Alligator mississippiensis: one gene and its partners. The protein of the gene in region 1 binds, or shares a complex with, the protein of each later gene. Links are inferred from orthologs where the notes say so. Each region holds a gene or a part of one and is shown in the gene's direction. Other genes may lie near its edges. The genes, in order: TMEM17, TMEM216, CC2D2A and TMEM237.

The links.
Region 2: TMEM17 (region 1) and TMEM216 share a complex: the UniProt entries of both Homo sapiens proteins name them as parts of the tectonic-like complex. The link is inferred for Alligator mississippiensis from reciprocal best matches to the Homo sapiens genes TMEM17 and TMEM216.
Region 3: TMEM17 (region 1) and CC2D2A share a complex: the UniProt entries of both Homo sapiens proteins name them as parts of the tectonic-like complex. The link is inferred for Alligator mississippiensis from reciprocal best matches to the Homo sapiens genes TMEM17 and CC2D2A.
Region 4: TMEM17 (region 1) and TMEM237 share a complex: the UniProt entries of both Homo sapiens proteins name them as parts of the tectonic-like complex. The link is inferred for Alligator mississippiensis from reciprocal best matches to the Homo sapiens genes TMEM17 and TMEM237.

What each region holds. Positions count from the first base shown.
Region 1 is NC_081824.1:212,938,388-212,946,155, reverse strand, and holds the start of TMEM17 (transmembrane protein 17), read left to right. Parts: upstream 1-4,768; 5' UTR 4,769-4,886; coding exon 4,887-4,995; intron 4,996-7,768. UniProt on the Homo sapiens protein: Transmembrane component of the tectonic-like complex, a complex localized at the transition zone of primary cilia and acting as a barrier that prevents diffusion of transmembrane proteins between the cilia and plasma membranes.
Region 2 is NC_081825.1:177,624,301-177,631,798, forward strand, and holds the start of TMEM216 (transmembrane protein 216), read left to right. Parts: upstream 1-4,479; 5' UTR 4,480-4,567; coding exon 4,568-4,580; intron 4,581-4,902; exon of another isoform or gene 4,903-5,550; intron 5,551-6,244; coding exon 6,245-6,346; intron 6,347-6,757; coding exon 6,758-6,850; intron 6,851-7,224; coding exon 7,225-7,426; intron 7,427-7,498. Other genes in the region: TMEM138 (transmembrane protein 138), read left to right, coding at 781-911, 987-1,158, 3,344-3,419, 3,704-3,816. UniProt on the Homo sapiens protein: Part of the tectonic-like complex which is required for tissue-specific ciliogenesis and may regulate ciliary membrane composition.
Region 3 is NC_081825.1:32,741,241-32,748,098, forward strand, and holds the start of CC2D2A (coiled-coil and C2 domain-containing protein 2A), read left to right. Parts: upstream 1-3,857; 5' UTR 3,858-5,426; coding exon 5,427-5,465; intron 5,466-6,525; exon of another isoform or gene 6,526-6,535; coding exon 6,536-6,610; exon of another isoform or gene 6,611-6,662; intron 6,663-6,800; exon of another isoform or gene 6,801-6,852; coding exon 6,853-6,858. UniProt on the Homo sapiens protein: Component of the tectonic-like complex, a complex localized at the transition zone of primary cilia and acting as a barrier that prevents diffusion of transmembrane proteins between the cilia and plasma membranes.
Region 4 is NC_081827.1:170,806,875-170,814,193, reverse strand, and holds the start of TMEM237 (transmembrane protein 237), read left to right. Parts: upstream 1-4,307; coding exon 4,308-4,326; intron 4,327-7,319. UniProt on the Homo sapiens protein: Component of the transition zone in primary cilia. Required for ciliogenesis.

The sequences.
Region 1 (7,768 bases):
GCCTTCTCCCACCCTTCCCTGCCCCCAGGCAGCCTTGTACCGGCCCTAGGGTAACTACCCATCCCTAACTGGGTGGGACAGTCCTGCAATGAGAACCTCAAGTCCCAGTTCCCGGCCTCATGACTACAGGACAGCATTTGTCCTGGATTCGCAGCACCTGCAGGGATCGGGAAATAGCCGGTTTCCCTTTGCAGGCTGGCAGCGGGGTGCTAAGTTCATGTGTACGCCTGCACAAATGCACATGGCTGGGAGATACAGCCAGGCAGCATGGAGAGCAGCTCCCTGCAGGTAAGTCAATGGTGGGGGGGGTACAGATCAATGCCCCCATGGGTGAGGGAGCGAGCAGGGCAGGGGCTGGGCATGATGCCCAGCCAAGGTGGTGCATGGGGTCAGGACAAGGAGCAGGACAGAACCGTGGGAGGTTCCTCCAGGGAGCGGGGGTAATGTGGAGCACATGCCCCACCAGCTTTGTGCACGGGGCAGAGGCAGATGTGGGCTGCCTACTATGGTCTCAGGGGTCCCCACCCTGCTGCAGGGGGGCTTGTGCTGGCCGTGCCACCATGGTAAGGTGCCCCCTGCCCACCTGGCAGCAGCAAGGGCAGGGGCGGTAATAGCATGGAGTTGTGCCCCCTGCTGCTGCTGGGTGGGAAGGGGTCAAGCAGCCAGCATCGGGCTCCCAGGGGAAAGGCAGCAGAGCAGGATGCCCCGAGCCCACAGCAGGCAACCTGCATCCGCTCTGCTCCTTTCGGCTTTCAGCTAGCCATGGTGGTGGCAGCAGCAGGACAGAGGAGAGGTGGACATGTGTCCTGTCTTCCCCTTTTGAAAAGGTGATCACTCTAGCCAGGCGCCTGCCCGCCCCCCTCCATTGCTCCCAGCAAAAAGGTCTGCTGGGTGCGGGCGAGTAGGTGCACACAGAGCAGCAGTTTGCAACCTGGCTCATCCCTTTCACTCCTCCCATGTTCTCAGGGTCAAGTGGACCTGCAAGGGTGGTCACTGGCATGCAAGACCCTATAGGGGCAGCCTAGGGACAGCCTCACCAGGATGGCCTGCCCTTGCCCTGAGGTACAGGCCAGAGGTTGGGAGGGGGCAGACAGTGGGAAGAGCAGGGCTCAGCCAGGTGAACATCTGCCCCCACTGCTTAAGTGGCACAAGCTAAATTAATGATTCTCAACTTTTTTAGCTACAAGCTCCCCCCACACACACACTCTCTTTCGGAGTTCAGATCTCTCAGTGATTTTCAACTGGGGTGCCATGAAATACAGAAAAGTTACAGAGGTACCTAGAGGCTAAAAAAATTGAGAAGCACTGGTATAGAAATGTATCTTTGCTTAAAGAAAGATATATTTGGTGTCATTTGTTAACAGTACATTTAACACTGGTATAATTTCTTCCTGAATTCTTTGTTTTGAATAAGAGATATATAAATATATGTACATGCACGCACCCATTTGGTGTGCCACCAATTTTAATCCATTAAAAAAGGCATCCCAAGTATCAAAAATTGAAGAAACACTAGTCTACATGTGGTATGAACTGTACCTTTGATAACAGGATAGACCTACCTTTCTTAGAATAAAGTTGTATTATTTGTCTTTCATCTTAAAGCTTTAAGGTTAATTGGCTTACCTTTCTTCTCATTCCCAGGACTTGTACTGAATCTTAGAGCTTTCAGCATTCTACAGAATTAGACCCTTGCTGCATTTCCTCATCTGTAAAATAGGGATAACAACACTTGACCAACCTTATAAGCTGTACTACATTTGCCAGCATCATCATTTTGGCAAATCCATCTACTCAATATAAGTATTTACTCCTGAGCTGGGAACCTAACCTCTCCAGAAACTACTGGACCCTCTAGTTTCCCTAAACCTGCCTGTGGCTCTCCAAAAATCCTTCCTCCCTTACATGCCTTCTGAAGAATTCAAGCAGTAAGATCCCTGCCTCCACGGGAAGCCCTTTGAGGCAAATCTGGTGTCGATCCAGCTGCTTTCACCAGCTCAAAATCAAACAAACTTTTCAAAAGTGATGTTTATGGTTTTTCTGTGTGGTTGACCTAGTGGGATAGGGGGAATTAAACTTAAAATGGATTAAAACATTCTTCTCAGTCACAGATAATTAATCTGTGAAATTCGCTACCAGCCAATATTACCAAGGGAAATAGCTTGGTAAGATTTTTTGTTGTTGTTGTAGGAGGGGGAGGGGTGCAGAAAGGAAATGGATTTGACATTTATATGACTACATTCTATAGTTACATTAGCTAGGCTAAAATTACAAGTGTTATCACTATTCATGCTGAAGGCTGTAAACTGATCTTCAGCTGTGGTCTAAGGGGGAAACCAATTACATAGTTTCATAGTTTCATAGTTTGTAGGGTCAGAAGGGACCTGAGCAGATCATCAAGTCCGACCCCCTGCCATGGCAGGAAAGAGTACTGGGGTCAAACGACCCCGTCAAGGTGTTCATCCAGCCTCCTCTTAAAGACCCCCAGGGCAGGAGCCAGCACTACTTTGCTTGGAAGTTGGTTCCAGATCCTAGCCACCCTGACTGTGAAGTAGCGCCTCCTGAAGTCTAGCCTGAATCTACCCTCTGCCAACTTGTGACCGTTATTTCTAGTCACTCCTGGTAGTGCTCAGAGGAACAGGGACTCCCCCAATGCCTGCTGGTCTCCCCTGACTAGTTTATAACAGGCCACTAGATCCCCCCCTCAGCCTTCTCTTGTGGAGGCTGTACAGGTTCAGGTCCCGTAGCCTCCTCATAGGGCCTGCCCTGCTGCCCCCTGATCATGCGGGTGGCCCTCCTCTGGACCCTCAATGCTGGCCACATCCCTCCTGAAGTGCAGCGCCCAGACCTGGACGCAGTACTCCAACTGTGGCCTGACCAATGTCGCATAGAGGGGGAGGATCACCTCGTTGGACCTGCTTGAGATGCATCTGTGGATGCATGACAAGGTGTGGTTGGCCTTCCTGACCGCGTCCCCACACTGTCGGCCCATGTTCATTTTGGCATCAATAATGATTCCAAGATCCTTTTCTGCCTCTGCACTGACAAGAAGGGAGTTCCCCAGCCTGTAGGTATGCTGCTGGTTCTTCCTCCCCAGGTGCAGTACCTTGCACTTGTCAGTGTTGAAACCCATCCTGTTCTCTTCTGCCCACCCCTGTAACCTGTCTAGGTCCAATTGCAGCCTATTCCTCCCTTCTAGTGTGCCCACATACTCATTTCTTCCATACTCAATTAGTTGTACTGAAGGACTTCACCCTGGTTCTCTGAAAACATCAGACCCTATAACATTTTAATAAGCCTTAGCAAACTGATCCGTTCCTCCTGGGGCTCCATGCGTGGTTAGTAAGGTGACCAAATTTTTAAAATAAAAGTAAGAGAGACTTTTTGGCAATTTTTAGGGCCAGGAAATACTCAGATAGAAGAAAAAAGGACACTCAAAAATAATATGGGATGGTATCATCAGACTCTAACTTGCCCCAACACAGGCGAGTGTCTCAACCGAGGGAATATTTTCTAATGCAGTCATTCACAGCACGATGTTATTCATGAAACAAGTGTCAATTTCCCTCTGAGCAAAAGAAAAGCTGGGAAAGCGTGGACACTGATTGACCCAGCTTCTTTCTCTCCTTCTTCCATTGGACTCTTCCTAATGGGCAAAGGACAAACTGTGCTCAGTGCAGCCATGCCTCCTGAACATGTATTTTGTAGTTTTTAAGTTCAGCACACTGGGGGAACAGGAACAGGACACTGAGAACAGACCTGCAATTTCCGTGGCCCTTGGGGCAGGATACACCCTGCCGCAACCCAGGAGAAGCTGGTCCCTGAGAGCCCCAGGCTCTGTGCTTGCAGGCCTGTCAGTCTTGTACCTTTGTGCTGCACTCAACAGGGCTCCTGCCTGGTTCAGGGATCATTTTAAAAGGATGGGCCTGACCCTAGACTCAAGGGGGAAGGCCCCTAGCACTAGTGTGAAGCACCGGTAATGAGAAAAGCTGCTGCACTGCCTTAAGCCACCATTGTCAGGTCTTAAATAGTAAATGATCATACTGGAAGCTCAAAATTATCTCATTTGCTGTAAAAATATCCTACACTGGGAAATACGCAAATAAGTCTTCTTCTTATTGACTTTACATTGCTCAGTATAACCCACCAGTGAGTGAGAACTGGGTTGTCAGTTTTGAAGCCCCTCTTCATTTTGAGGGAAGAAATCATAAGAAAGTGCTAACAGCAAACACAGAAGTCACTGAAGACTCCCTGAGAGTGATTTGGGTTTTGCATATGTAGCATCAATGAGCTGCCTCAAAAAATCATGCAAAAACTCAAAAATCATCCAAAATCATGTGTGCAAAAATTAAGTTTATTTCCTACCTATGGGGACTTTTTACCATCTTGTATCATCTACATTTTTCCCAGAGCCTAACGAAGGGACTTTGCTCTGAAAGCTTGCAGAAAAGGACAATTTTCTTCCCATTTTCCAGTTGGTCTAATAAAAGGTATCATTTTGGAACCAAGAGTTCTAGTCGTTTGTATGTCCTACATTTTGAACACTTTTACTATTATTGATTGTACCTCGTACAAGGCTTGAAATTATCGTGCAACTATGATAACCCGGCAACACAGCCCTAAGTGGAGGCCAGACGGGAGCCCCAGGGCCCCATCCCAAATCGGGACTCAACCCGCCTGCAGCCCCATCCCCCGGGAGAGCCAGCAGAGCTGTCGTGGCTCCAAAACTAGGTAGAACAACCGCGCATGCGCGGGCCGTCCAGCCCCTCAGGGGGAGCAGAGGCGCTAACTGGGCCACGCAATGGGGGCGGGGCGCCCGTTCTGACTCGCTTTCATGGTTCCCATAGCAACCGGGACGTTGGCGGCCTAGAGGCTCCCGGTCAGACATGGCGCTGCCGGAGCCAGTCCGGAGACGGCTCAGCAACTTCAGCCGGACTGTATTCAGCGACAGCAACCGCACCGGCCCGGAGTACCCCGACGGCGGCTGTAGCCCGGGTAAGGCCTGGCTCCCGTGCCAGCGGCAAAGATGGCGGCGGTGGCGGCACCCTCGCGGGTCGCTGCCAGGAACCAAGATGGCGGCCCAGGTGCCTCCTCTACTTCGCTCGCACATTGAACCAACGGCGCAGCCCCTCCTACACTCATTCACTCACTCGCAGGTGGAAGGGAGCCTCCCTCCCAACCTGCGAGCGAGCAGTCCCCGCGGCTGCTCAATGCCTGGGACTACAGCGGCGCCACCACATAAGGGGGCGGGGCGCTGAAGGCGGGGCAGGAACGGGCTAGCCCGTCAGAAGGGCACCGCCTCCTCCCGCTAGGCACGGTGAGCGCGTGCGCAGTGGTACCGGCTGAGCTGCACTGCCTTTGTCTGTCCTCGGGTCCTGCCAACGGGCGGGGCAGGCTTTTTTCTGCTTAATGAGTTAGATATCCAGGTTGTAGCAACATGAGGCAAAAGGAATCAGAACTCGTGGTAGAGGTGACATCTGTTGTTAGACCAACTAGATTTTTGCAAAAAAGAAAAAAAGTCTTTAATTGCAATTAAAGATAGCTTGCAAGTGAGGGATACTTTGACCCTAGCTGACTTCCTACCAGTGGGGCAGGGGGCTGGACTCGATCAGCACTAATGTCAATGAAATCTATGAAGCCTTTTTTTCCCCCCAAAAAAATCTAGTTGGTTTAATAAAAGATATCACCCCTACCACAAATTCTGAATTGGACAGAGGTACACATGGTTGGGTGTGTGTAAGTATTTACACACATGCAAACAGGCATACACACAGGTGTATATTCACACCCCTAACTTTCCTGAACTCAAGCTCTCTTCATCAGTGGCAGTGAAAGGTCTAGGCCAGCGGTTCCCAATCTGTAGTACACGTACCACCAGTGCTACACAGACACCGTGGCAGTGGTACACATTAACAGATTTATTATTATTATATATGACAAAAATTTGCTGGTGATACTTAAGGTCAAACTGAAAAATTTGCTGGTGGTTCTTAAGGTTGTATTGTTTTAAATTGGTGGTGCGCAATTTGTCAGAGTTTGGGAACCGCTGGTCTAGGCTCCTCTTCGCAGCATCTGCTAAAGTGGGGTGGACTTCAAGAAAGCTTGTTCTCTCTCTGTATAGATATACACACACATATAGAATCATAGTTACTTAGTCTGTAAGGTACATACCTACCCTGCCTTACGCCTGTCTTTTTAATTTTTTTTTAATACCAAAACAGCCTGGCTCCAGGGCTTCCAGGACTGTAGAAAAAGCACCAGAGGTAATTGAACTAGTAGTATAGGCTCAGGTCCTTCAGTAAACAGCACCGTTCCATTTCTGAACCCCCTGTACCTCTGCTGTTCCTGCAATTTGGGGGTTTTCAGGTGCTAAAATAACACAGGGAGTCACAGGCATTGGATTTACCCATTTCAGTGCTTAAATTCTCTCAGTCCCCTCTTTATAATAGCAAGCATCATACTTTATAAAGCCTGGTTCGATACCTTCCGCTTCTCCACCACCTTTAGTATCAAATAGGATTTTTTTTTTACATAAAAAATTACAAATGAAGAAATACTTTGCTGTTTGTAATACAAGGAATAAGATAGACAAATACACCCAGTATCTTACTCCGGTGCGTCCTATTGCACCCTACAGTAAGCAGCAATTAAATTAGTTCAAGAGTGGGGGAAAGAAGTTGACATTTTTGGCTACTTTTGTCAACTATTTACCTGAAACTCAATCTTAAATCCTAATCCAAGTATTAGGAATTTGGCCTAATATTGAAATATTAGGACAGGTATTTCAGAAATGTACCCATTGGAATAATACTTGGAACAACCCAGTGTAGCATAGCATCACAAGATGGTCACACAGAAAATTAAAAATCTTGGCCTCTGTCATTAATCAAAACCATTACCATTATCCATAAGTAACTTGCAACAGTTTAAAATGCCTCCTTGTAATTAGATGTTACTTATCCATTGAAGGGTAGGCTGCTGATATCAACTGATACGTTGTTCCAGTTCTGAACGGCTCTCCAGAAGCAGTTCCTTTTCTAATATCTGGAAATGAACTGTCCTGCATTCATCAGGACAGGCTGCAACTAAGAAAGCATGTTATAGCTAAGTAATGAACATTTTTTGGAGGTCTGTAGGTCATCTCCCATTCCTCCTAGTTGGAATAGTTTTTATACATAAAAATGTTGGACTATTAAACATGTCAGTCATCTTGTACCTTCTGTTTTTAGTGTAGACAGTCCCGCCTCTTTACACTATTACCTTAAAGCCTTGTCCCAGTTCCTTTACTATATTCTCCTGCCCCTCCACCTAGCTAATTAATTATCATGAATACTTCAGCATCTGATAAAAAGATTTCTGGGATATGTCTGAGAATTGAAGGTACCATGACTGCATGAGGCTGAACTGGAAACAATGATGATGCTTTCCGAGGTAGAGCAAGGACAGGTAGGAGACTGGAAGTCAAAGAGAAACTAGCCAATATTTGAAGATGGGTTCAATGATATAGTGTTGTTACATATCAGGTCACAAGTCTTAAAGAAAAAAAAAGATACAGAACTTTTGGGTTGCACATGCAGAAACAAGAGATGTTTAACAGGAAATGGAAATGAGATCATAAGAAGAATTTGGCACCTGCCCACAAATGGTAGCAAGTGCCAGTTCTTCTGAACTGCTCTTTGGGACATAAGAGAAACAGATCATTAGTAATTCATTCAGGTATTTATTGATATCATACTAAATATGAGGTAATGCGAATAAGCTTGTCTAA
Region 2 (7,498 bases), on another chromosome or scaffold:
GCCGCACTTCTGCACCTGGCTCAGAGCCGCTCCCGCCCACCTGCCTGCCCTCTCTATGATCCAAGTCCTCCAGATCCCAGCTAGAACCGGAAGGAGGCCCCCATTACTCTGCACCCTTCCCTCCGCCTAGTCGGCTGCTCTGCTTTCTGCTTCCGCATGACCCGCTGCTCGGGTGTCCACCCCCTCCCAGATGCGCCACGTGCAGCCGGCTGCCCCCACCCCCTGACTCAAGGCAGGCTGGTCCCTGCTTGAGCCTGCCCCGCAAGTAAACGCTGTCCCTTTAGCCCGTCCAAAGCCCGGACCACGGGGACCCCACAGTCGCGGACCAGGACCTGCTCCGGGGGTATCACAGCGGCCCGTGCCTCAAGCGGGGGCCATGCCCCGGTCCTCCAGCACCATAGAGAGGCGAGAGCGCCACGTCTCACTCCCCGGAAGTGCCCGCAGAGTGGCAACGGGATACTTCCGGTCCCTCCGCCTGCCTCCCGGGATGGCAGCGCGGTCGCCATGGGGATGCAAGATGGCGGTGTCAGGCGAGTGAGGGCCCGTTGGGAGGGGGTGCCTGTGCGGAGACAGTGTCACGGGCACGGGGTAGGCAAGGGTCCCCCTCCTCCCCCCGGCCCAGGCCTTGCCAGGAATAACACCCACATCTCCCCCTCCCCCACCCCCCAGGCTCCGGGGCGCGTCCGTAGGGCGAGGCGGCGCAGGAGGCCCCGGGCCCCGGGAATGAGGTGGCTCCGCAGCCCGGAATGCAGCCACTGAGAACACGGCCCGCGGGGAAAGATGATGCTGCAGACCAGCAGCTACAGCATGGTGCTCTCCCTGCAGTTCCTGCTGCTCTTCTACGACCTCTTCGTCAACTCCTTCTCGGAGCTGCTGCGCGCTGCGCCCGTCATCCAGCTCGTGCTCTTCATGTGAGTGCCGGCAACCGGGGATGGCAGGGTCCCCACAGGTGCCTGGGAGTTCACCGCCCTCTCTCTCCCCCACAGCATCCAGGATATTGCCGTCCTCTTCAACGTCATCATCATCTTCCTCATGTTCTTCAACACTTTCGTCTTCCAGGCCGGCCTGGTCAACCTGCTGTTCCATAAGTTCAAAGGGACCATCATCCTGTCGGCAGTGTACCTGGCTCTGAGCATCTCCTTCCACATCTGGGTCATGGTAGGGCAGGACCGTGCCAGCTTCTGGGATCAGGGCGTCTCGCCAAGGGGCATAAGAATCCCTTATCTGTCTAGTCAGGGACTTCATCCTCCTCCAGAGCAGTTGAGCTCATCCAGCAGTACCTGACACCCTGCGGGATGAATCTGCCTCCTCTGGTAGCCCCCTCTGACAGTGCCTGATATCTACAGTTTCAGACGTAGGCCCCAGGATCTCCCTGTGGTGTACCCAGCCCGTTTTGGCCACCCGCTAGAGAGAACCTCTCCTGTGAAGTCTTGCCAGGCTGAAGCTGTGCTTGGATCCTACCCTGCCCTTTCAGTCTGAGAGGTCAGGACTCTTGCACCTTGGAAGGACCCCATGTCCCCGACTCACCTGGAGACACAGTGGGGCTACGAAAAGAATGAACTTGCATGTAGCCACGCAGTATCAGAGCCCCTGTGCCCCCAGGACCTCCCTGAACATGTTTGTCACACCTTGCTCCAAACAAGGGAGGAGCTCTGGAGCATTAGGGAAGAGAGTGCAAGTCCCTTTCCCTCCTGTCCTCCCAGAGGGCAGCAGCAGGGTTGGGGGGAGCTCCACTCTTGTCTCCCTTGTGACAGGGAGGATCTTGCTCTCCTCAGGTGCACAGAATCTTTCTTGGATGGGGCTAAGTTTGCTTCTCTACTCCCAGCATTGCGCTGCCACATCCCAGGAGGCTGAATGCAGGGCCAAGCAGAAACTCATACTGTCTGCCAGGTTCAGGGTGGGACATTCCTCCATTACTGAATGTCTGGCCAGCTACTGCTTTGGAGGGCATAATCCTGGTTGGGACTGCAAACTGATTGCTGGGGGTGCTTCCCAGGCTGGGTCCTGTGCTGTGACTGCAGGCAGGCTTTGCTGTCTAAGTCCAGGCCTTTCTTGGTGTCATAGTGAGAAAGGAGGCTGGGGCTGGGGGCAGTCACTCAACAGTTCAGGCATTGTACAGAGCTGAGAGGGTTTGTTGGTTCAAAATGTGAGGATTAGCCCACCTCCTCCCAGCAGCACTTGGAGGCCAGTGCCAGAGCAAGCAAAGGCATCGGTGCCAGAGCAAGCAGAGGCATTGGTGCCAGAGCAAGGCTGGCAGGGAAGCAGCTCTCCCAGTGGAGAAACAGAGGGTTTCCCTCCTGCCTGGAGGGTTATAGACCTGGCTGTCAGCTTGGCATCAGGTCATGCAAACCTGACAGCTGGGACTATTACTACTCCATGACTTTCTGTTCATGATGATCTTGCTCCATGGAGAACCAAAGCCAGTGCTAGACAGCACCCTCCTGACAGGGGCCAAGCTGCTGATTTCAGTGATCACTTGTGGGTGCTTTCTAAGTGGGATACGGTGAGGGAGTCATGTTTAAAAAGACAAGAGTTGTGAAATGGTTGTGGCTGGGAGTCCTCAGACTAGAAGGGAGTAGCCTGCCCTGGATGCTGGGCTGCTGCTGGCTCTGGTTCCCTGTAGTAACCAATTCTCCAAGTAAAGCTAATCCACTGTCAGAGTGGCTTGATGGCAGGTGTGATGTGTTGCATGGGATTACTGCCCTGGCAAGAGGTGCTGGAAAGCTATCCCAAGGCACAGCAGGGGGAGTGTGTGATGCACCCAAAACCACAGAGTAAGCAAACAGAAGAACTGAGGGTAGAACCCAGGTATCCTGTTTCATCCCTTCCCTCTGCCTGCATCCCTGTTCCTAGACCATAGCCCCACTGCTCTGAGGTGCCTTTTGCCTAGATCAGGTGAGGGCTTCTGCATTGTGGGTGCTGCCTGTGGCTCTGCCTGGACAGGGTGATTTAAGAGGATTCCCAGAGAGATGCTTCCAGGCTGATCTCTGATTAACCTCTGCATGCTTCGAGAGCTGCTCCCTGGCTGTTCTGCTCTGTGTCTACAATCAGAATGGGCTTAGAGACAGACAGTTATTCTTGCAGGGAAAGGGATCAGGGCAGTGGAGGGATTTTTCACCCTGCTTGCCCACTAGGGGGCACCAACTGGCTCTGGGAAGCTGACACAGCTGCCTTTCACTGAGGAGCTGCAGTTAGTGTGACATAAGTTGAAGGCTGAACAAAGCCTGGAGGGGGAGCTGTGGCCCTTTAGAAGAGACCCAGTAGGCAGTGCTGTGGTCTGGCACTGGGCTTATGTCCCCCCCACCCAAGGCCTCTGCTCCTGGTGTATGTGTGTCTCTTTCAGAACCTGCGCTGGAAGGACTCCAATGGCTTCGTGTGGACAGATGGGCTGCAGGCACTCTTCGTGTTCCAGAGGCTGGGTAAGGGCTGGAGGCAGACTGATGCAGGGCAGAGGGATGGACAGACATGCAGGGAGCCATTAACAGCCCTCCCTGCACACACAGCACAGCTACTGTGCTGTCAGTGGGGTGGGCTATGGTGCCCCCAGCCTGGGATTGGGGGTTAAGACACAGTGTTTGGCCAGGCTCCCAGTTCTGTCTGGGGGCATGAGGCCTCCCAGCACACTGGTGTGCCCCTTTAGGCAGTGGGGGTGGGGTAGCTCTGGCCTGCTGGGCTTGCTCTCACCCACTCTCGCTCCCACCAGCGGCTGTGCTGTATTACTACTTCTACAAGAGGACTGCTGTGCACCTGGGTGACCCCCGCTTCTACCAGGACTCCATGTGGCTGCGCAAAGAGTTTGCTCAGATCCGCACCTGATGATCCTCTCAGGCACTGGACTTGGGGATGGTCTGCCCACTAGTTCTGCACCTCGCTGCTCAGCACCCTCCAAGAGAGGCGGACAGTCACCCTCGAGGCCAGCACCTCAATGCTGCATCTGCCCCTCACTCGCACCCCTCCGCTCCTTCTCCCCGCCGGAGAGTGTGGACCACTCCCAGCCCTGCTCTGGCCCTAGCTGCTGCCTCCTCATGCACTGACGCGAAGGGCCAGATGTGTGTGATTGTGCCCTGCTGGCACCGCAGCTGCCCTTTCTCATCCCCCTGCCTGTCACTCGCCCTTCAGCTCCGGGCACCTGCTAGCAGCAGCTCCCACGCCCGTTCCACTTGGTGTCCTGGGCAGGCCGAGGCTGGCTGTACGGCCCTGGGGCCTCTCTGCCCTCATTAGCCTGTCCTTTTGTACCCCGTTTTATAAACGAGCAGAAAATTAAAAAGGCTCCATTTTCCAAAACCTGGTGCTGTGTGTGTGCATGCAGGCGAGTCTCCAGGGTGCTGGCCTGCCATACTCTCAGTGGCTACTGTCGCAGGAGGCCAGAGGCTGAATCCCCTGCTCTGGCTGCGGCCCCCCAGCCTGGCCGCGGCCGGGGAAAGAAGTCTCAGTGGCCGCCCCGGGGGGGGGGGGTGTCACGTGACTCCGAGCGGGTCCTCCAGAGGCGGAGCGGCGGGCTGCTCGCCAGCCCCCGCGCTCCCGGAAGCGCCGGCGCTGCGTGCCATGGTTTCCATGGAGATGGAAGATGGCGCCCAGAAGTAAGTGCGGGGGGCGCGGGACCAGGCCGAGCTCCCCCAGCCTCCGCGGGGGTCACGTGACCCTTCTGGGCCCGCCCTACTGGCCCCCCCCGCAGGTCCAGTGGCCAAAGCCCCCGGGAGCAGCCCCCGGCGCTGGGCAGTGATGGGGGGGGCCCTGCCCTTGAGCGGAGAAAGGCAGAGCAAGACCCGGGGCGTGATGTCGGAGCTGGGCGCGGCGGCTGCAAACGGGGCGCGGGCTGCCCCTGGGAGGGGCTTGTGTCCGGTCCTAGCTCCGGAGCCCGGCCGGGCGAGGACCCTGCGACAGCACCAGGCAGTTGTAAGGAGGAGGGCGGACCAGCTGCTGAACCTCCTTTGTGGCGCCAACGTCTGTTAGGGGGGCAGCTCCCAGCCTCAGCACAGAGCAGCCCCTCGCTGCAAAGCGCTGACAGGCCAAACGGGCAGCGAGAGCGGTGGGTTATGTTATCCCTAGCTTAGCAAGAGGAAACAGGGAGTAACTTGGGATCAGATGTGTCTAACGCAATTTCTTTGCAGATGGGGGTGTGGAGGGAATCATTTGGTTACAGTCTGATGTCTTGAATGGCGGAGGCTAGAGGACCTCCCCCCCACAACAGTGTTTTGAACCAGAACGGGTCTCAAAGAAACCCCTTGGCCTTGGTTTAGCAGCAGCTGGGGAGGTAGAAGCTGGGGGAAAGCTGTTCCAACGGTTACTTGCCTTCACTGCTCGAGACATGCACCTTATTTCCAGGCTAATGGTGGCAGGCTTCAACTTCCAGCCCCAGGAGCTTGTGTGTTTGTTCGCGGCCAGGATGCTGAGGTTGAGAGCTAGGCCTATCATTACACAGCGATGGTGGTCCCAGGCTCATCAGGAACTACAGGCCCCCTCAGTGGGTGGAGAGCAGCCACTACATGAAGGATGACTAAGTGTTTTGGATAAGGGATGAAAGCACAGGAACGGGAGCACAGGTCAGAGGTTGGTAAGGAGGGCGCCGAGAGAGATCACTGAGCAGGAAACGCCAGTTATTGCCCGCTGCCCCTTGAGTGGATCCAGGGAGTCTGTGGATGCTGCTTAGGGACGTTCTTCTCAGAGGCATGCGTGGGCAAGGAAGGCACCCCAGTTCCCCTTGGCCAGCACCTTCTTTCTGGCCGGGAATGGGAGTCTGGTCCCAGCTCTGCCATAGATCTGAAGGCAAGTTGCTTCACTTCTATGGGCCTCAGTTTCCCTACCTGTAATATGGGGGCAGCTGCCTTCCTTCACAAAGTGCTTTGGGACCAGCAGATGAACAGGGCTAGAGTAGGGAGCCCGTCACATTGGTTTGTTCCTCACCCACTGCCGGGGTGTTAGCACCAGGCCCTTTGAAGACCTCGTTAGGTCCCTACTTGCATTTTAGGATGCTGAGGAGCCTTTTAACACCAGCCCTCAGCAACCTGCCCAGTTCCCATGGAGCTGGGGATGGAGGAGCATCCTAGATTCCTTGCACACCAGGGCCTTCACCACCTTTCCTCTTGTTCAGCCCCATGCATTTGATGCCCCCAGAGAGCCATGCAGCTCCTCAGCCAAGAAGGAGGGAGCAGCATCTTGGGAAAATATATATGACCCTTTCCTCCTCCTTGCTAAGGTGCCTTACCTGTTCATGCTCTGCTTGCTTTCTCCACCCACCCCCCAGGTCGCCAGCTCTCCTCCACCCCATTGGAAATCCTGCTGTTCCTCAATGGTTGGTATTACGCGACCTACTTCCTCCTGGAGATCTTCATATTTGTCTATAAGGGTAAGAGACCTTCCCAGGCGCTTGTATGTGCTGTAGCCCACCACTGATTGCATTGGACATCAGATGCTGCCCACAGGCTGATGGAAGAGCGACAGAATGAGCTGACCCCTGCATACTTAGAGGCTTCCCTAGCACCGCTCCAGCCCATCCATCTACATCAGTGGCCCCAGCCCCCTGCAAGACTGCACCTGAGCAGGGAGGGGTGGGAGAAAGCCAGAAACTTTGCAGTTTGGCTCAGGCAGGAGCTGTTAGACAGCCTGTCTTCCCTGGGCTTTGTAACCTCTCTGACCACTGGCACATCCCTAGGGCTTATCAGTTTATTCAGTGGGTAAGGGACAGTGGCACCCCAGAGAAAAAGGGTGGGGGTGTGGCCTTGCTCTCCTCCTGAAAGGGATGGCCTTTGTGCCACAGGGCTGCTGTTACCTTACCCATCTGCCAACCTGGCCCTGGACCTGGTCATGCTCTTCCTCTACCTTGGCATCGAAGTCACACGGATATTTTTTGGTGAGTATTTAGGAAGAACAGGGCCAGGTGCCACCTCATGGTAAGAGCCTGGGGTGGGCTTGGGCTGGTGACAAGCAGTTGTCAAACAAGTGGCTTTTGGTCCCCACCACAGGGTCACTGTCCTAAAGCAAAGGGGCTCCTCACTTCAGCCAATTGGGCGCCCAACAAGAACCCAACTGGGCATCCAACAAGAACCAATACCATAGGGAGGAATCTCCCCGTACCACATTCCTGGCCTGTGGCCAGTGCCCTAGAGGCAAAGAACCTTTTACCCGATTCCCGGGCTCCGTGGGCAGGCAGATCCTGAGCACCACCTCTTTGTAGGGAACGACACGGGCTGTGCATGAGATGCTCACAGCCACATTTCATGACAGGCTCCAAGGGGAACCTGTGCCAGCGGAAGGTGCCACTCTCCATCAGCCTGGCCCTGACCTTCCCAGCGGCTGTGATGGCAGCCTACTACCTGCTGCTGCAGACCTATGCCCTGCGCCTGGAGGCCATCCTTAATGCCATCCTGCTGCTCTTCTATGCTGTGGAGCTGCTCCTGGGCATCCTCACCCTGGCCTCCTTCTCCAGGTAACTGTTCCTCTGCTGTAGGGGGAAATGAGATGGGTAGGGGAGGAAGACCCTGAGTAGCCCAGTGGAAAC
Region 3 (6,858 bases), on another chromosome or scaffold:
CAGCCCTAGAGAGCGGGGCCATACTGAGTAGCCCAGTGTGGGTGCGGCGAGCCCCCAGAGAGGGGGAACGCCATGGTGTTTTATTGAGTAGCCCAGTGTGGGCGCGGCGAGCCCCCAGAGAGGGGGAACGCCCTTGTACGTTATTGAGTAGCCCAGTGTGGGCGCGGTGAGCCCCCAGAGAGGGGGAACACCCTTGTACGTTATTGAGTAGCCCAGTGTGGGCACGGCGAGCCCCAGAGAAGGGGGGAGCGCCATACTGAGCAGCCCTAGAGAGCGAGGCCATACTGAGTAGCCCAGTGGGGGCGCGGCGAGCCCCCAGAGAGGGGGAACGCCATGGTGTTTTATTGAGTAGCCCAGTGTGGGCGCGGCGAGCCCCAGAGAGGGGGAACGCCATTGTGCTTTGTTGAGTAGCCCAGTGTGGGCGCACGGGCATAGCGAGCCCGGCCGCAGGCTAGTGCGGCAATCCCCCTCAGACCAAGGCAGGGCGCTGCGGTTGCCCCTGAGAAGACAGGGAGTAGCAGCGCGGGGAGCCAGAGTCAGGGAGGGTGTCTGTGCGGTTGGCCCATAGGACCGGAGGCCCGCTGGAGAGTCCCGGAGCAGAACCACACTGGCAGGGGAGGCCCAGAGTGGGCCAGACGAGAGTCCCAGCAAGAGGCTGGGCATGAGAGAGGGAGCCCAGGGTGGGCCACAGTAGAGAGACAGACCGGACAACGTCCTTTACATCCGCGAGGCTTGGGGCGTGGTATCAGGGGAGGTAGGAGCCACGCATAGCCCATAAGGCTAGGGCGCTTGGGTAGTGCCCATTATACGGGGAGACCCACGAGGGGTCCAGGAGCTGACAGGCCTGAGGAAACACAAGGCAGCCTCCCTATTACATATATTCCATCAAGACGTGGCGGGCGAGAATGGAGGGTGCCCTCGGGCCGAAGTAGCGCGGTGAGAGGGCCTCAAGGAGATCACGGCCCTCCGCGAGGACCCCGCCGTGACAGGCACCTTCCATCACACCATTCTTAACAGACTGGCCACCGGCAGCATCCTGAGGGATAGTCAGCACGGGTTTGTTGTGGCTTGAATACTGGGTTTGTCACGGGAAGGTCTTGCTTGACCAATCTTATTTCCTTTTACGACCAGGTGACCTATCACCTGGACAAGGGAGAAGAGATTGATGTCATACATCTTGACTTCAAAAAAGCCTTCGTTCTGGTATCCCATCATCACCTCTTAGCGAAACTGGCTAACTGCAGCCTCGGCTTCACCACGATCTGCTGGCTGGGGAACTGGGTCCGTGGTCGGACTCAGAGGGTGCTAGTTGATGGAAGTCAATTGTCATGGTGCCCTGTGACCAGTGGGGTCCGTCAAGGCTCGTCCTTGGGCCAACACTATTCAACATCTTCATTAATGATGTGGACATTGGTATCAGAAGCAGACTGGCCAAGTTCACCAACGACACCAAACTTTAGGGTAAAGCGTCCATACCTGAGGACAGGAGGGTGATCCAGGCTGACCTTGACAGGCTTAGGAAATGGGAGGACAAGAACCTGATGGTGTTTAACACCAAAAAATGCAAGGTTCTCCACCTTGGGAAGAAAAACCTGCAACATACTTATAGGCTTAGCAGTGCTACGCTGGCTAGCACTACAGACAAAAGGGACTTGGGGGTCATGACTGACCACAAGATGAACGTGAGCCTTCAGTGTGATGCTGCAGCTAGTAAAGCGAGCAAAACGCTGGCTTGCATCCATAGATGCTTCTCAAGCAAATCCTAGGATGTCATCCTCCCATTGTACTCAGCCTTGGTGAGGCTGCAGCTGGAGTACTGCGTCCAGTTTTGGGCTCCACAATTGAAAAAGGATGCAGAGAAGCTTGAGAAAGCGCAGAGGAGAGCCACACACATGATCAGAGGTCAGGAAAACAGACCCTATGATGAGAGGGTGAGAGCTATGGGACTCTTCAGCCTGGAAAAGCGCAGGCTCAAGGGTGATCTGGTGACTGCCTATAGTTTATCAGGGGTTCACACCAGGAGCTGAGGGAACATCTGTTCACCAGAGTGCCCCAAGGGATGACAAGATTGAATGGTCACAAACTCCTCCATGACTGTTTCAGGCTGGATATAAGGAAGAACTTCGTTACTGCCCAAGACCCCAAGGTTTGGAATAGACTGCCGCTGGAGGTGGTTCAAGCACCTACTTTGAATGCCTTCAAAAGACATTTGGATGTTTATCTTGCTGGGATCCTATGATCCCTGCTGACTTCCTGCCCCTGGGGCAGGGGGCTGGACTCAATGATCTTCCGAGGTCCCTTCCAGCCCTAATGTCTATGAATATATTAATAATTTTATAAATAAGAATCAATGGCATTTTACCTGATCTGTTATGTCTGCTTCTGAGTCTTGTTTCCCCATAGCCAGAATATTTATTAACAGCTTTATAGTCATGACACTATAAGAAAAACATCCTACTTTTCTACATCATAACTTCTGAGAAACACATTGTTTTACAGTATGCTATGTTTCCATTTTTTTCCAGAGCTTGTTCCAAACAAATACCTCTTAAAATTTTTGCTAAAATTTGCAATAGTGTGAAATGCATACATATCTTCAAAGAGGGTGGGCATGATTATCTGCAGTACTGATATAGATTTTTTCTAAAACTTTGTGGAATCAGAAATGGAAGATGGTATTAAAGAGATTGTGTCAAGTGATGGTTTTAAAGGTCTATCTTTAAATGACTGATGAGAAATAAAGAAGTCTGCATGGTATCTAATATTGTAATATTCTCAAGGAAATCTTTTTACCATCTGTTATGTTTTTGAATGAGGGAAATGTCCCTTTGGATGATAGGACTGAATAGGATTAAGTAGAGATAGTAAACAGAAAAGCATTATTTTGGAATCTGAAGCCAAGGAGGTTTGCTTTTCTATATTCTGCCATGGTTGGATCCAGGATTGTGTAAAGGGGGTGTGGGAGCAACGACTGACATGGAAGGGGGGTCTGTAACTCCACTCCCAGTTCTGCCTCCCTCGCTCCCTCCACCACAAGAATGGGCAAGCCACGCCATGGGAGCAGCAGCTAGGGATTTTTTTTTTTGAGTCCCCAAAACAGGTAAGAATTTTCCCTGCCATTCTTGGCGCTCCCTCCCTTTTCCTTTGTACTCTCCTCCCACTCCTGCCTGCGGCTGTCCATGCTGTTGTGCAATGCAGTGCTGCCAGAGACCGTGTCAGCAGCAGCACTGGGCAGGTTCCCTTTCCCTGAGCTTACTCCTTGGCTAGCGAGGAATACTCAGGGGCCTGGACATGGAGGAGGAACCTGCCCACTGCCACTGCTGCTCCTGGCCAAGCCTGGCTCCATCTGCAACCCAGCTGAAGCAAAACTGGAGCAGCTGTGGAGCACCCCACTCCCCTGGGGCAGCCAGAGACACTAGGGACAGCAGCAGTAGTGGGGGGTGGGGGGAGATGGGATATGCCACTGAGCACAGAGAATCATAGAAAATTAAGATTGGGGGAGAAGGGAAGGAGAGATTCGTACCTGATTTCTGGATTTAAGAAAAGTTGCCTGCTGCTGCTCCTGCAGCGCAGACTGAAAGATGGAACCACTTCACCCCTTGTAGATCCATCCCTGAACTCTATTCCCTCCTTGCCCACTGTCACACCTACTCACTTATTACTGATGAACTCTAGATCCTCAATGCTGTGTAATGTAATGTAATGTAACATAATGTAATATAATTTTAAAATGGTGGTACTTGACTTGGATGGGAATATAGGTGAATATGCACGTTCAGATTTTTCTCACATCTCCACTTAACTTACATTTCAAGAAAATAAAAGGATATATATTATGCATTCTGTCTATGAACTGGGGAATAAAAAAGAGCCCCAGATCTTTACATACATTAGTGTAATACATATTGGCCATTAGTGCACAATTTCATTTTGATCCTGCAAATCCTGCAGATATACATTTGGAGAGTCTTAATGAAGTGAACATAGGCAGACAAGGTTCTTAGGATAAATGTGATATCTTTTATTAGACCAACTAAATAGCTGGAAAAATTGAAGTGAATGCAGTTACTCACATGTGTAAGTAAGTGCTTGACCAGGGTGGCCATGATCCCTTGATCTTTTGTATGCATTATTTACCACTATTTCTTTCCTTTGATTTTTTTTTAAAGGGATGGTCTTTCCCTATGTGTATGTAGCAAACCATAGACACTTTGCTGACTCTTTCTCTTTAAAAACAAATCTCAGTGACCTTCCTTAGCAACCTTGTTGCTAAGATGGGTGTATTTGTTATGGCAGACTGTTGATTGCAACTCCTGAAATGCTGCCTAAGAAAACCCAGGTATGACCCAAATATTTCCTTTTTAAAGCTTTTAAAGTATCTCCACATTCTCCATTTTTATTAGAGACAAGTTTAAGATGCAGAAATCCTCAAAACAACTTTTATAACAACTTTTATAAAGATTCTCAAGGTAATTTATTTTTAAAAGTGAAGTTAGTAAACTGCAGAAATGTCTATTTTCAGTTGTAAGTCATCTGGAGACAGGCAACTCCCTGTGATACTGAATAATTTTAAATCTCTTGTATTCTAGTGTAAAGCATGGAATTCAATTATTTATTATATTTTTAAAATGTTTCTTATGGCACTTAGTTTCCAGAAATATTAGAAAAGCATTAAAATGATTCAAAGGCCTTGTCCTTTTCATGTACATACAAGACTATTCTAATGTTTTAAAAGTGAAATCTGCTAAGTATTAAAATGCTATAATTTACTGAAGTATAATATTTATATTGCCCTGGGATATTAGTGCTGCAAACAGGCAGATGTTTCAGTTTTACGCAATGACATTATACTTAGCCATTCTGTGCAGTACTGGAGTGGGAATGAACTTGTGAGCTGGTATGATTGCACTGATCTGGGCTGCCTAACTAGCATGGGGCATAGCTGATACTGCTGTAGGAATACAAGCCATACTTTGGGCTAGTTTGGCCCCCAACACTAGTTAGGAAAGCCTTTGAATTTACTACCTAAATCTCGTTTGGTGTTTTTAGCAGCGGAGTGACATTTTCTGGTCACATTTTCTTAACCCTAATACATTTGTAACCTGCTCCTATGCAGGAAGCAGGGATGACAGTACAGACTGTCAGTGGCATCACTCCTATTAAGAATTATCACACATTATGCCTTAGTTTGAAGATTATGCGAATTACAAAAACAGGAAAAAATCCAGTTTTCAAAACTGCAAAACTGCTTTGAAGTGTTAAATAATTATATTTTAAGACATCATAAGTCTAAAGGTTATATATATATGGTGCAGAGGTATGCCTCATGTGGAGTGTGTTGGATCAGTGTGTAAGTATTTAATCTGTATATTGGCCCGCCAGTAATTTCTGTTATTTGTGACAGCCAAGTACCATGTATCACAAACATGAATCTCAGTGAAGAATCTCAGATGATGGTTATGGAGGTTAGTTTAATAATTATGACACATATTGTTTTAACGAAATTTCTTTCACCAAAAATTATGATACGGTTTTGTTCATCCACCACCTTTGTCAATTACATGAAGAGTAATATATGTATTTCTGGACCGCTTTGCGACTTGCAATGCTTATTTAGTCATTTGTCAGATTTGTTCTGCATTTTGGGGCCCTGTCACCACACGGGTTGCTTCATGGTAAATCTGCCACTGTCCCCACTTTCCCTCTACTGCCAAATTCCCCGAGTCCTCCTGCAGCAGGTGGAAACTGGGCCATACCCCCTCTTCCACATGGCCACATCACGGCTGGGCTCACTCACTTCTGTGTGAGGCCAGATCACTCCCCTTTCCCCCTGCCCGGCTGGGCCTTTCCCCCTCCCCCTGTGGAGCTGGATTGGGGTCAGGTCAATCCTCCTTTGCCAGGCGAGCTAAGCCCCTGGATCAGGGCTGGGCTGCCCATCACCCTCTTGTGCGACTGACAGGGGCTCCGGCGCACCCTCCTTGGGCAGTGGATCAGGACCACCAGCTGGATGTGGCCCATAACAGGCCCGTGCATGGCCCATGAGGCCTGGCAGGCAAGAGGGCAGGGCAGCACTGGTGCATAATCTGGAGCAGGCGGGTATTAAACAGGGGGCGCAGCGAGGTCTCCATCCTGCACGTCCCGACAGGCACGCAGGTTGCCACCTCTGCATCTATCCTGGGAGGTTTCAGCACGCGACAGAACAACATTAATGCCCAATTAATCTATTGCGCTGCACGCCTGTACATTACTGTTACATTTAAAAAACCCACTGGACTACTGTCTAAATGGGAGCCGGCATTTCGTATTTATTTGGACGAATGCCCCGTCGTTTATCTCCCCGGTGACTCTCAGCAGTCTCCTGGAGACTCTGCCCGGCGCCAGCAGCCCCCCAGGGCAGGTGCCAGCTGCGAGGGAGCGGTTTCCCAGGCCCCCGGCCCAGCCGGGCTCAGGGCAGGACGGCCCCGCAGGCCTAAACGTGTTTCTTTCCCGTGTGATCTGTTTCATGCACCGACGTGCCTCCCCGCGGACGCGGCAGGAGCGCGGAGCTGAGGCGGAGGCGGAGGCGGGCGGGCTGCAGGCGGCGCTGGAGGCCCGGAGGCGGAAGAACCCGGTGAGCGGGCAGGCAGGACGGACCGGAGCCGCAGCAACGCCAGATCAGCCCAGTACGCATGCGCGGAACGCCGCACGGGCTGCACGGGGGGATTGACTGCTGCGCACGCGCGCCGGGACTCTAGGGGCGGGGCTCTGGGGGGGGTGTCGCACAACATCCGGGTCCTGCGGAGGGGGCGGGGCTTGAGTTTGACTGGGGCCGCGCGCTGCTGACGCTCCCCCTCCCGTTGCTTGTGCTTGCAGCTGACG
Region 4 (7,319 bases), on another chromosome or scaffold:
CTAATCTAACCCTCCAACATATTTACTATTACCCCCAGCTTGATGTCTTCTGCAAACTTGCTGTGGGTGAACTCTATGCCATCTTCCAGGTCATTGATGAAGATATTAAACAAAACTGGCCTCAGGATCGACCCCTGGGGCACTCTGCTTGATACTGGCTGGTAACATTGAGCCATTGACTGCTACCCTCTGTCCCTCATGATATGGCCAGTTTTCTATCCAACCTGTACTTCCTTTCATCCAGCCCGTACTTCTTTCGCTTGCCTGTGAGAATATTGTGGGAGACCATATCAAAAGCCTTGCTAAAATCAAGGTATACCACATCCACTTGTCTCCCTGCATCCACAGAGCCAGCCATCTCATCATAGAAAGCAGTCAGATTGGTTAGGCATGACTTGCCCTTGGTGAATCCATGCTGACTTTTCCTAATCACCTTCTTCTCCAAGTGCTTAGAAATTAATTCCTTGAGGATCTGCTCCATGATTTTTCCAGGGACTGGGGTGAAGCCGACTGGTCTGTAGTTCCCTGGATCCTTCTTTTCCTCTTAAAGATGGGCACTATATTTTCCCTTTTCTAACCATCTGGGATCTCTCCCGATCCCCATGAGTTTTCAAAGATGATGGCCAGTGGCTCTGTAATCACTAACTCCCTTGGCACCCTCAGGTGCATTCCATCTGGTCCCATGTACTTGTACACATCCAGCTTTACTAAGTAGTTCATAACTTGTTCTTTCACCACTAAGGGATGCTCACCTCCTCCTCAGACTATGCTGCCAGGTGCAGTAATCTGGGAATTGACCTTGCCTGGGAAGACTGAGGTGAAAAAGACATTGAGCACTTCAGCCTTTTCTGCATCTTCTGTCACAAGGTTGTCTCCCCCATTCAGTAAGCGACCCACACTTTCCCTGATCCTCCACTTGCTAATGACATACTTGTAGAAACCCTTCTTGTTACCCTTCGTGTCCCTTGCTAGCTGCATCTCCAGTTGTGCTTTGGCCTTCCTGACTTCATCCCTGCATGCTCAAGCAATACTTTTATACTCTTCCCTAGTTGTTTGTCTGAGTTTCCACTTACAAGTTTCCTTTTTGTGATTTAGTTTACTGAAGAGTTCCCAGCTAAGCCAAGCTGGTCTTCTGTCATACTTGCTAGGTTTCCTGCACATCGGGATGGTTTGTTCCTGCACTATCATTAAGATTTCTTTAAAGTACAACCAGCTCTCCTGTACTCCTCTCCCCCTTCAACTGGCTTCCCAGGGGATCGTGCTCATGAGTTCCCTGAGCAACTCAAAGTTTGCTTTTCTGAAGTGCAGGGTCCTTAGTCTGCTGCTATCCATCCTTCCTTTCCTCAAGATCCTGAACTCAGTCATCTCGTGGTTGCTGCTGCCCTAGTTGCCGTCCATTACTACATTTCCCCACCAATTCTTTCCTGTTTGTGAGCAGCAGATCAAAAGGAGCACAGCCCTTAGTTGGCCACTCCAGCATTTGCACCATTTAAAAAACTTCCTGGATTGCCTGTGCATTGCTGTATTGTCCTCCCAGCAGATGTCAGGGTGATTGAAGTCTCCCATATATAACAGTATGGAATATTTTATAACCTGAATACATTAGAACCGTTTCTGTTTGCGAATGAGATTTTGTTTTGTTGTTTGATCTCCTGAGGAATATCTGACAAATGCATATGCTGCAGTCTAGTAGATAACAGTATATATTGTGCAGAGTTGGCAAATGAAGTTGTTTTGAAATTTTTCAGATTTTAGTTTTTAAAAACCTAATAATGATTATATGTGCATAAAAAGCTATGACTGATTGTGGGGTTATACTCTGCCAACATTTTTGCTAAGCTTCCTGTTGGAATTGTCCAACAAGAAGAGTAAGTAGCAGCTGGCTTCATGGATCTTGATGGGAGGGTGTTTGTATCCACTGCCATATAAATTGTATTTGCTTTCAGTCTACCTTCTAACATAGATAAAATCTAGGATAGGGACATGAGGTCAAATCCATCTTCACACTAGTCTCACTTGCTTCAGTTAAATTAGCATAGCTAAAGTTTACTCATGTAAATAAAGGAGTGGTTCTCAATATTTTTAGACTCAAGGACCCCCTGGAGAGACTAGAGGCATGCCTTGGAGAATGTCAGCTCTTAGTTTTTACTCTTTGCCTACAGAAAACTAGTGTGTGTATGTGTGTGTGGGGGGGGAAGGTTCTGTTGCAAAGAAATCAAAAAGATCATAGCTATGGATTTCTGTTTGAAATCTCTGGGTTTATGTTGTGAGTCAAGTTTGAAAACCTAACAATGCCTAACATTGTGTGGCACCCCACAGCCTCCTTGAAAGGATCTTGAGATTGCCACAGCCCCTGCTTTGAATCACTGGTAAAGAATCAGGGTGTCAAGGTCTTGCATTTTTAGTTGTACGCAGTAATAACAGCCCCATTGCTGCTCCTAGTGGAAGCTGATGGCAGAACTCTTATTGACTTCAGTGTGAGTAGTATCGGGTCCTAAATTGGGGACAGCGAGGTTCACATACAGTTAATCTTGTCTGGGAAGCTTATTTTTAGTGCTGAATTAGCTGACGATCAATGTAAGCAGTGTCAGAGGGAATAGTTTAGTGTCTCTCTCAGGGACCAGCTTTAAATGACATGGGAAAGAAGCAAGTGGTAAGTTCAGTTTGGAGGAACTTTGCCTTGTTTCATTTTTGTGGGGCTTTTATTTAAATTTAAGTTTTTATCTGGAGCGTGGAGTAGTTTTCCCTTTTGTCTAGTACACTAAGACAATAAATAATCTGAATCTAAGCTGTTTTACTCTTCTAGGTAAGAGAATTATCAAGTGTGTGGGCTATACACCTGCTATTCTGTCAACAAGAAATATTTTTCTTTGAGTGTTAATTCTGTTTTCCCTTATGGTCATGATCTTCACCACTGTGAAAATATTCTGTTTTATTGAACATTTTATAATATTAAACAGTCTAGTCGGCATTTTAACAACAGTCAGGACTATCTCACTGCCCTTGTTTGTACTTCTAAATGTAAGATTTCATTGGTGATTCCTATAATTGTTCTTGATATAATATAAAAATATATTGATATTAAATGCCTACTTTCAGCAGTGTTCTTCTATTGTGTTCAGTACCTGACTAGAATGATAAATTGTCTTTCCTATGCATGTAGTTTTCTTATAAAAAGGTGAAGGTATTTAAAGAGTACTGTTACCACTTAGATGGTTATAGTTTATCTAAAATATAGCACGTATCAGAACTGAGGCATTGACGCAAAATATGTACCAGACACTGCTTTACAATTCTACATCTTAACTTCCATCCAGTGATCTCAAAACATATTTGTGAATTGTTTATACATACAGTGTTCAGAATTGCCTTTCGGAAGACTATCGATGTAGCCTATGTTAGAGACATCTAACATAATATCATTCCAAGGTCATACTTGGAATTAGCTGTTTTCTCTGAAATAATTTAGTAGGGGCTCAAAAGGTAAAAGATTTCATGACACACTAATGGAAGGTTTTTGTCTTTTCTGTTTCAGCGTCCACCCCGTGCCCTTCCTCCTGTGCCAAGGTAGGTTTATTTTATTCTATGTATTTTGGTAGTTTGGGAACACTGGAATGTACTTGAAAATTATGAAATTAAGAAAGATGAGTGCAGTAAACACATAAGGCACTCATAATGCTGTTAAATGATTTAGCAAAATCTCACTAAGGTGACAAATATTGCTCTCTCTTTGTTTTAATTTTTTACTGAATAAAATTTTAACGTAATTTAAGAGTAGATCTATCATTTTTTAAAACTAAAATTAAGGCTTTTTCCTTTTATAAATCTAATTATATTATATTTTCACACTTCACCAAAGAAATTTGCTATAGACTACATTGTTATACAAGATTTTACCTTAGCAGCAAATAATTGTAACTACTTTTTTAAAAAGTACCTTTAAAAATGGGCAAGTGGTAGGACAGTGTAAGGGCCTTGTTGTATGTTACACTGTGAGCTGCTCAAATGTTGATTGGTGTTACTGCTAGCTTGAATTTGGGGCAGTCGCACATTCAGGCGAACAGGGGCCTGGAGGACTGAGAAGTAAGAATCCTCCCCTCCCAATTTGGGGTTCCCACCTCCCAACCCCTCCTCTTACTTGTGGCTGCTGTCTATCCCAGGGGAGCAGACAGGGAAGGGTTAACCCACCTACCTACCTGCCTGCCCCCCTCTCCTCCCCTTTGCTGCTCTTCTCAGGGCTGAGCCTAGCCCAGGGAGCAAGGACTGGCAGGCAGATTAACCTTTCCTTGCCTGCTTGCCCAGGACAGATGGTGTGGGCAGCCACAAGTAAGTGGGGGGAGCAGTCAGTGGGGATCTGAGGTGCTGGTGAGCACATAGCAGGGGCAGCATGCCTGATTCAGGCCAGCAGGGGAACTGGAGATTGGATGGGGTGTAACACTAATGTGTAGCCTAGAGTTGCTGTATGCATGTATAACACAAGTTAGGTGACACAGATCAGAGAAATATAGCCTGGAGTGGCATAACAAAGCCATCTAAAGCAGTGTTTCTCAACTCGTGGGTCGCAACCTAAAAGCAGGTAGCAAGAATATATAAAAGGGTCATGAACAAACTTTAAAAATGGATTCTTCTTTAAAGGAGAAAAACATGGGAAACCATGACTTTTCCCTTGCAGGCTGGCAGAGTTCCAGTCTGCAAGGGGCTACTTGGTGCCCCCCACATGCTCACCCCCTGCTCCTCATGCTGTGGGTTGGGGCCTGGGGGCATGGAGCAGCGGGTTGGGAGCATGGGGCACCAGGGCGGGCCTGGCCATCCATGTTTACAAATGAGTCCTGGTCCAAAAAAGGTTGAGAACCACTGATCTAAAGAGTGCTTAAAACTAATTCCAGGTGTTAATGTGTTCAGGGGTTAAAAGCTCCAGGAGCTGCCTAAAATTAACGTATAACAAGGCCTTAACTTTGACTATCTAGAAGTTTAGGGGTATGGGTCCCTGCTACTCTTGTAAGACTTTTCATTTTTTAAAGAGACTGGGAAGCAGTTTAATTTGTTATATTACCTCATCATTTTGTGTTATTTGTTGGGGGAAAAACAGGTAAAAAGAAAAAAAGTCATAGACAAAAAGGCTACTTCAGTCTCACTAACTTATTTTCAGCCCCTTATCTTCCTCTTCCAAATGTCTCCTCTTGTCTATATTTTAGATTTTGAGAGCTTTGAGTAGAAACTTTTTTATCAGACTGGTGTCCAACATATCTTGAATATGGGAATAAGAATTTTCTGAATATGCCATATTGACACAGGAGTTGAAAAGATTTTATCCTTAAATTTCTATGTTCCATACATCAAGATAGGTTTTGATGGTAGGAATGGGAATTGGGCATTTTTATGGTCCGTTATGTCAAAATTCTTAAAAGTACTTGGAGGCGCATATACATTAGGGGTGTGCAAAGTGGGCCCCATTTGATTCAGGTTCAGATTTGGCCCAAATCAGGGACAGTGATTCGATTAGTTGATTCAGATCACTGTCCTTGATTTGATTCAGCCAAATCTGAATCTGAAGTTTCGATGCTGATTCAGGGAATCAGTGATTCGGACATAGACATAACTTTAAAAGTTTTTTCTACATACGTCGAGGTACCAGGCGTGACTTGTGATCGCTGCGATGCTGGGGTGCATGGAGCGTCCTACAGGAGTGTGGGGCGGGGGCGCTCCACGTGCTAGGCAGCGAACCCGGAAATGGACCGGAAGTACTTCTGGTTCATTTACAGGTCTGCTGGGGAGTGCTCTGGGGGGCCCCCCCACACCTTTCCCAGCTTGGCGATCGGCAATCAGCCATGGGGGGACCTTGGGTGCCCCCCCAGACCCAGGAGGCACTAGTTGCTGAGCTTATGGGGTGCAGGGGAGGGGGGGAGGCGCCTCCTGCGTGCTCCCCAGCGGACCTGGAAGTGGACCGGAAGTGCTTCTGATCCACTACCAGGACTGCTGCTAAGTACGCGAGCTGCCTGCTACCTAGAGATATGTAGAAAAAACATTTAAAGCTGTGTATATGTCCAAATCTCCGAATCTTTCTGAATCGATTTGGAGGGCTCCAATTTGAGTTGGAGAGATTAAAGGGTCCTCTGATTCGATTTGGAGATTTGGCCACTGAATCAAGCCAAATCTCTGCCAAATCAAATCAGGGACCAAAGCTTCACACAGCTGTAACATTGTACTCGTAAACATCACAGAGGAAACTGTGAATACTGATCATGAAATAGCTGCTTGCCTGACTAATTTATAGCTTCTTTCCTTGGTTCATGCATAGCAGACAGTCAGACAAGTTCTAATTAAATAGTCTAACAAAAGCTTTTAATTGTATCTACAGCTAACCAATCAAGAAACTGTACCTAGTCACATGAGGCAGACAAAATGTTCAGTCTTCGGTCTTGTTAAGCAGCCTTAATGTTGTCATATTTAAATGGTTGTAAAAAGTAAGGTTAAGGGATGTGAATAGACCATATACATTTTTATGCTTTAAGTCGGTTGCATTTTGAGTTTTAGTACAGTTCTGAATTGCAACTGATTTAACACTAATGTTCTTGTCCTTTAATATTGTTTTTTTCATGTTTCTTTCCAATATAATGGGAAAAAAACCTTGGAACTGAAGTGGAAACCATGGTGAGTTGGTTCATTGTTGACAAAACTCTGTCCATACAGAGTCCTTTTAGGTTTCTGTTTATTTTTCTTGGTTCTGTTTTTAATGTTAAATGTGTGAACTTCTAAAGTTTTGCCTAACAGCAGGTTGCTAACTATTATAAATTATTAAAGCTGCTTGCAAACACCCCCCCCCAGTACTATAATTTAAACTTGGTGCACTCCTGTGCCAAGCTCTGCATATGCCCAGAAGAGGCAGCGTGTTAGTTGGACCCGGCTCACTCAACATCTGTACAGATCAGGTGCTTTAGTGAGCTTTTTTAAATGTCTCCAAGCTGCCTAAGTGCTTTATGTGTTTGTGGACCAGATTCTTCAAAAGTATTAATTGCTTTTGATTGCCCAACATGAAACACTGGGGAAAATCCTCCTTTTCAGATGGAGAATGATTTAATTTGGAAAAGAAAAAAAATCAGCTATGCATTGCACAGGCTATACCTTACCATTGTCAATTCTGGTTGCCCTTTTCTGGATTGTATAATTCTCTGTTGTCTGTTTTGAGATGAGGTATCTAAACTTGGACTTTATGATCTAAATGAGTTTTATTATTCTTTAGAGCATCATTATAATATTTTCTTTCTTTTTAATGTACTATGGCAGGCCTAGCCTGGCTGGGAGGTCATAACCCCCAGCTG